Linked DNA regions of Kluyveromyces lactis. The protein of the gene in region 3 purifies or fractionates together with the protein of the main gene of each other region. This does not show direct contact. Links are inferred from orthologs where the notes say so. Each region holds a gene or a part of one and is shown on either strand. Other genes may lie near its edges. The genes, in order: QCR2, QCR10 and RIP1.

Region 1 (2,895 bases), on a different chromosome or scaffold from region 3:
ATGTATCATTTATTATTTTTTATTCTGTCTGTAATCTATGATATTCTTTCCACTTGCTAGTTCTCAATAATATGTTAACTGATATTTGTTCAGAGATATATACTTCAATAAATAAGTGATAAGTTTCTAAGATGATATGTGAAAATAAAAATAGGTTCGGCAAGAAGACACACTACGTATTAAACCAACGTTCTTGCAATATCACCACAACCTCTGTTTGATTGTTTTTCTTAAGAGCAGTGATGGGGATTGTATGAATCAACAGAACTGTTGAATTTGATCAGTGGCTTCTGCACATTTCAAAAGATTAAGATATTGACGGGTTCTCTTTTAACATCACCAGTTTTTCCAAAGGTTAAAGGTGTTCTTTTGAATCTTAGAGAGTTTTGTTTTTGAATTTTATTGGTTTCTTTTAGGTTGCAATGTTTCCAAAAGCCACGAAAGGTAAAAGATAATAAAAAATATGTACAATAGAAATGTAATATCGTTTCTAAACATTTCAGTGATGTGATTCTGTCATCTCTCATGAATATGTGTGTTTGTTTGTTGTTTTTTTTTCAGTTTTAAAGTACTATGTGTGTAACTTTGGCTAGTAGGAGAAAGGTTAAAATCTGTGAGTTATTTTTAACTGTGATGAAATTTACAATTCATCAGCGAAAGGTAGCTTAGCGACGTTACCTACAGCGGCGTAAGAGAATTTGTCCAACTTGACATTCTTGACATTAGAGACATCGATTGGAGCGTTTTCCAAAGATAATTGCAAGGCAGTGTATTCCTTAGCAGCTGAAATGTCGACATCCTTCTTCAAGGTATCAACGACCTTCTTTATGTTTTCAGCAACGACAGAAGCATCCTCACCCTTGACGTATAAAGAGAACAAGCCGGCATTAGCGTACTTGTCTAACTTAGCTGAGTCAATTAATGGAGACAATTCGGACAAAGCAGAGGTTAGGTACTTAGCCAAGACTTCGTAGGTAGCGAACTGTTCCTTAGTAACTGGAACAGCGATAGCGGCAACGGAGGCACCTGGAGCACTTAATCTGGCTTCACCGGAGAAGAACTTTGGTTGAGCTTGAGCAGCCAACTTGGAGCCAGTTGGTAAAGAACCAATCAAAGAGTCGTTGACAAATCTCTTCAAGTCAGCTTCGTTGACACCTTGACCAACAATTTCAATGTTTTCCTTGGTGTAGACCTTGTTGGCATAAGCCTTGATATCATCCAAGGTGACCTTCTCGACACCTCTGTATAGAACTGTGTTACCTAAGTCCTTTCTGAAAGAGACATTGTAAAGTAAGTCTTCGGCCTTGTTGATTGGGTTAGTTTCAGAAACGGAAATGTCGTACTTAGCAGCTGGCAAGACAGATTCTGGTAATTCGTGGGGTCTGAAACTGGTCTTGTACAAAACGTTACCCAAAGCGTTAACGAAGTATGGAAGATCTTCCTTCAAGAAAGTAGCCTTCAAAGTGATGTATTCTCTGTCAACACTGGATTCGAACTTACCACCCAACAATTCACTTTCTCTAACCAATCTCAAAGCAGACTTGTTACCGGTGTTATGGAAGTTGAATCTGGACAAAAGGTGGGCAATACCTTCTTTGTCGGCGTAACGAGAACCACCGTGAACCTTAACAGCCAAAGTGGATAGTTTACCGGAACCGTCTTTAGCGGAAATACTGAATTTTCTAGCAGTTTGCTGGGCAAATTGTAATCTACTGGACAACATCTTTATATTATATGTTTATGGGCTTTTTAATTTTGGGAGTCAGAATATCAATCAATATCAATATCAATTATGCGTTAATCAAAAGGTCTTCCTCTACTTTTCCTTTAATGTCCAAACTCAAATAATATTTACTCACACACAAAATAAGTATCGAAACAGAGCAAAAAAAGTACACTGACAGAGTAACGAGTAAAACAAAGTAATCAAAATAGTATATCAATCACAAATCTTTACAAAACCTGTAATCAAAACCAATCTTCAAACAAAAAGCTCTAAACTTTGAAGTAGAATTGTCATATTTTGTTATAAATTTTTCAAGAACCTATTGAATAAAGCTATATGCGATAAAATCCAATAACTAACAAAAAAAAAAAAAATTGAAAAAAAAAAGATATTTCGAGATGTGAAGACTGATCTCTACAGAGGAATCAGAGAAGAAGCGAGCTGATTCTGTAGAAAGGAGAAGCGTGCTTAGACCATCTTGGAGTCACAGTAAGAAGGGGATATCGGGTTTTAGCGGAACGTACTGGGAGTGAGAGGGAACAGACAGGAATCGCGTAATGCACTGTGAAAGGGTATTGGTAAACCATTTGAAGAAAAAATGGTTGGACACGGTTCTTAGAAATGATTGGTTCGTGAGTGATGAGATGTCACGTGACACAGAAACACAAAAGTCACGTGGTTGTGACCACGTGACTTACAATAATGTTGCCTGTTTCTTTCGATCTTCTTGAAAGACCCATCCATTCGTATTGAAAGAAAAAAAAAATCTATCAATTGAATTGATCTCATCTCATCTCATCGCATACATGCATGACTACTGCAACAAGGTGGCTCGACTGTAGAAAAGGTAGGAAAATAAACAATTGTTATTGCAAGCACTGACATGAGTGCTGCCCAAGCTGCCCTGATCCCCGATGCGGCTGTTCCAAATGGTGGTGCAAGTGTTGTATCAGCCGCAGAACCATCCACATCCACATCACCAGAACCAATCGATATCTCTTCATTAGAGCAGAGAACTCTTAACCCAGATTCGTTTTTATACTCTGAACTTGCCAGATCCCATCTTGGTGAAAGAGCCAGTACTGTTCTATCCGTGTTGGTCAACAAAGGAAGACTCTCCACGAGAGAAATTCATTCTTTCATACCAGAACTTTCGTTGTCCAGTATTA
Region 2 (2,164 bases), about 790 kb from region 3:
TCAACTTGCCAAATCAGTGAAATTCCCAAAACCAATTCTCCATGGATTATGTACCCTTGGTGTGAGTGCCAAGGAACTATTTGAAAAGTATGGTCCATTCGATGAATTAAAGGCAAGATTCACTAATGTTGTTTTCCCTGGAGACAGATTAAAGGTAAAAGCATGGAAGAAGAACGATGTTGTCATTTTCCAAACTACTGATTTGAATACTGGTAAGATCGTATTGGACAATTCTGCCATTAAATTGATCGGTAAATCAAAGTTATAATTCTGGCTTTGTGTGTCAGAGAGCGTAAGCTGTAATGATTATGTCCCAACGTATATTAGTTTGTAGCAAATAATGAATAACGACCAATTCCAATCCGTTTTCTTTTGACATAAAACAATTTATATCTCTTTACTTATATACGTTTAGTAAAAGGATGGGTCCTATTTATATGAATAATGTGTAATTGAAGTGCTTTTTCGAAAGTAACGTTCTTTCGAGGGTTTATTTCATAAAATAAATAATAATAATGGTGCTCAGAAGAATATTTTAATTCCTTACTTCTAGGCTTTGGGATTGAGAATATGCTTCCTCTCGTTAAGCATATCTAGAGAGAAAGCAACCTGCAATGACGAAAGTTCAAAAAAATATCATACGTATAACGCATAATCAATTATTGAGGACTGTCTTCTGGAGCAACAACCTTAACCCAGTGGTCACCGAAGTATGGGATCTTTCTGTAGAAGGCATCTTGGAAAGTTGGCCAGCCATCGGTGAACACGAATAAACCGAAAGTAGAAGCACCACCCCAAAGAGCCAAGTTTGGAGCGTAACTCTTCAAGTTTTCAAAAGTGATTCTACCGAAGTGAGCAGCAGTCTTTGCTGATAGTTTAGAAACGTACTGATGAAGATAATTGTTTAGGGAAATATCCCTTGACACATGAAATGTTAGTAAAAAAACAGTCTTCAAAGGGCTTATATTTGCCCAAGATACATCAGGTATATGAAAGATCCTTCCTAAAGGTACTCATAACCTTACCTTTAAGGTCTGGAGATATCGGTATACCTAAAAAAATCTGGATAATTCAGTTATGAGTTTTGATCTACTCCATCTCTAAAGTCTCTTTCAAAACATTAACCACATTCCAGACACATGTCTACACATACAGCAACCATTTTGGAATAAGTATACTGGTGTTTTTCAGCTCTAAAATAGATATCTGCAACGTTGACCAAAAGCACATCCCATAGTAAAGGTATAATGCTCCAGTTAATTGAATTGAAGCTTTTTTATCTTTTTTATCATATAGTGTTGATGTCATTGTGAACGACGTGGACAGTGAGATGATTGGTTGTAGGTCACGTGCAAATAGGAAATTTGGGTACCATGATTACATATCTGTATCGGTTAACTAGTAGAACAAGGATAAGGACAGACACACTTGGCAATCAGGGACTGTTAATTATCCAATTATTTGAGTTCTGTTGTCATAGGCTGTGTCCTGTCCATATTCTTATTTTCTGGTAATAAATATGAGTAGTGTTTCTTCACTTGTGATAAGGTATCTGGCCTCTGCAGTCCATTCACATCAAAGAACTTACTGACGCAACTCCAACGATGCCACGTGAAATCTTTTGAGGCTTGGCAATTGCATCTCAATATTTCTTTCAACGGGTTATCTCTTGGACAATCTTGATTTGGATTGTGTGCGTACCCTGTATCGGGTACAAAATGGATTTGGTCAACGTCTAGTAACAAACTAAATGCAAGCGTATGAACCGGAGCATCGCCCCAACGTTCGTAGAAAAACCCACCAAGTGAGTCCAAATATTGGAAATAAGATTCGTACCCATAACTCGGGTCTTTGAATATCTTTAAATGGGCAATCTCAAAGTTAGTCCAAAAATGACATCCGTTATACGTGGCTCCGTCATCGTCCGAGATGAATTTGAAGTTGTTTCGTTTGCTGACAAGTTCAGGGTGCATTTCGAAAAAATACTTATACGTATGTTCCCATAACGTCGGGATCGTCTTTTGGTCTTCACCCATGGCCATGGCAAACCCGTATAATTTGTCGTTTTGTCTCATATGCTGGAATACATCATAGTTTATATCACATCCGAATTTCACGTAAGGTTCCACACGCCAATAGTATTCAACATTTGCTAGTTCTGGTA
Region 3 (2,148 bases):
TTCTTTAAATACGTGTCTGACCTTTTATGGAAAAGAAGGCGATACAACATTAAGCGATTCAGATTGTAGGTATAACCATGCATCGGGTAGAGCAGGACTATTTCAAAGATTTTGGAATATAATAAAAGGGTTTCAATCACGGTAGTAGCCTGATGTGGTCATTCAGGTATTAATGCGATTGTTTCTCAGTGCAGTTAAAAGGAAAAGTGATGACATACAATTGAACAATGCTTCAAAAGCATTTCATGCTTGCTATCCTTTTAGTTTGCTTGAGCTATGGGGGCACGGGTAGTTGTGGTTTCAAAAATGTTTGTATGAATAAATAATAATAAATCGGGTAGTGATGATGGAACGTGAAAAAACGAGCTTACACGATTCCAATATGACAAACTTTAGCATAAAAGATATTGACCTTGGTTGTGAATCCTACTTGGAAAATACATGGGGGGAGTAGGAGACATCAACATGGGAATAAAGAATTTTATTAGTGAAAGCTGGAGTGAGAAGGACAAAGAGAAAGAGAAAAAGGAAGAGAGTTAAATTTGAGAAATAGCAAAAAAAGGTAGCCTATTTCAACAATTTATCAACATAATATAATCTTTTTTTAGCTTTCCTTCTGCGCTTAACCGACAATCAAGTTTTCACCATCGAATTCATATTGAGGGATTTCCAAGTTCAATGGAGCTGGACCCTTTCTGATTCTACCGGAGATATCGTAATGGGAACCGTGACATGGACAGAACCAACCACCGAAATCACCAGATTCACCGATAGGAACACAACCCAAATGAGTACAGATACCCAACATGACTAACCATTCTGGCTTTTGAACTCTGTCAGAATCAGTTTGAGGATCCTTCAAAGCTGACATATCAACACTGTTAGCTTCTTGAATCTCATGGTCGGTTCTGTGTCTGATGAAAACTGGCTTACCTTGCCATTTCACAACGACATTTTTACCTTCTGGAATAGCAGCCAAGTTGACTTCGACCTTAGCCATAGCCAAAACATCTGCAGATGCAGACATAGAAGCGATGAAAGTTTCAACGGTGGATTTGGCACCGGCAGAGGACAACAAACCTAAAGAACCAACCATAAAGTAAGCATAAGAACGACCTTTGTCAGCATCGTTATTCTCCTTGATATAGTCTCCGAAATCTGGAGTTCTGTAAGTAGACTTGGCAGCAACTGCAGAAGTAGAAATTAATCTGGCTGGAGCAACAGACTTCAAACCAGTCTTCAAACCGTTTCTTAAACCCAACATTTTTGATATTAGTTAGTTATGGATATATCGCTAGAGTGTATTATTCGTACTAATTTCCCGTTCTTATTTCGGAGAAATCGTTTCTATGATATCGACTTTAATCACAACAGCAAAGCACTCTCGGAGTATCAATAAATATATACACAGATATGAATCACCAAGCCAGATTATAAAATATATATATCAATGCAAAAATGTTGTTGGAACTGAAAGTAATAATAAAATGATTGTACTAAATCTTTTTCTATTTTATTTTATTCAGAGAAATTATCAAATTATCTCTATCCATATTAAACAGAAGCCATTGCAGCTTAATAAGTGCGGAAGGAAGCAAAAAAAAAAAAAACAAAGAAAAATTTCAGATTGGGAAAAAAGCCAATAGTAAGAAGCGCTAAAGGATTAAACAAGATATAATTCGACCAGACAGGAATGGACAGTGTAAATGAGCTGGGACGAGGCAGAACTTCCTGGTGTGGTTATTATTTTCCAATTTACAAGTATACAATTTTATTTGCGTAAATGGTCAAGTATAGGAAGATTTTCTTGGTGGAAATGATAACTGACACTAGGGCCTTTGGGCCTAGTGTCAGTAAAACGCTTCGCATTTAACGGCTTTCACATAGTAGCTGTAAGTGTCCATTTCCTTGTGTTTTCTGGTTATTCAAGGGAAGCAGGTTTTTCTGTAAAGCCTGGTTCACGATATGATTGGTTCGTTTGTAGTGATTATATTAATGTATGTTTGTTGCTGACATTATTTAAACCCATAACCCTCATACATTTCGAGGGCAGTCACCAATCGCAGAAGAAGAGTATCACGTGACTCATATTCGTACAAGCAGAGTTCGTTGAAACAGGTATGGGCAGTGGGCAACTGATCATGTGAT

The links.
Region 1: the proteins of RIP1 (region 3) and QCR2 purify together in Saccharomyces cerevisiae (affinity purification with western blotting; 4 studies listed by BioGRID, with this or other methods). This does not show direct contact. The link is inferred for Kluyveromyces lactis from reciprocal best matches to the Saccharomyces cerevisiae genes RIP1 and QCR2.
Region 2: the proteins of RIP1 (region 3) and QCR10 purify together in Saccharomyces cerevisiae (affinity purification with mass spectrometry; 3 studies listed by BioGRID, with this or other methods). This does not show direct contact. The link is inferred for Kluyveromyces lactis from reciprocal best matches to the Saccharomyces cerevisiae genes RIP1 and QCR10.

What each region holds. Positions count from the first base shown.
Region 1 is NC_006038.1:323,364-326,258, reverse strand, and holds QCR2 (ubiquinol--cytochrome-c reductase subunit 2), read right to left. Parts: upstream 1,724-2,895; coding exon 641-1,723; downstream 1-640. Other genes in the region: RPC82 (DNA-directed RNA polymerase III subunit C82), read left to right, coding at 2,610-2,895. UniProt on the Saccharomyces cerevisiae protein: Component of the ubiquinol-cytochrome c oxidoreductase, a multisubunit transmembrane complex that is part of the mitochondrial electron transport chain which drives oxidative phosphorylation.
Region 2 is NC_006041.1:1,221,832-1,223,995, forward strand, and holds QCR10 (ubiquinol--cytochrome-c reductase subunit 10), read right to left. Parts: upstream 1,163-2,164; coding exon 1,154-1,162; intron 888-1,153; coding exon 660-887; downstream 1-659. Other genes in the region: bifunctional hydroxyacyl-CoA dehydrogenase/enoyl-CoA hydratase FOX2, read left to right, coding at 1-268; KLLA0_E13861g (glycosyltransferase family 15 protein), read right to left, coding at 1,458-2,164.
Region 3 is NC_006041.1:2,013,288-2,015,435, reverse strand, and holds RIP1 (ubiquinol--cytochrome-c reductase catalytic subunit RIP1), read right to left. Parts: upstream 1,265-2,148; coding exon 623-1,264; downstream 1-622. Other genes in the region: putative E3 ubiquitin-protein ligase HUL4, read right to left, coding at 2,016-2,148. UniProt on the Saccharomyces cerevisiae protein: Component of the ubiquinol-cytochrome c oxidoreductase, a multisubunit transmembrane complex that is part of the mitochondrial electron transport chain which drives oxidative phosphorylation.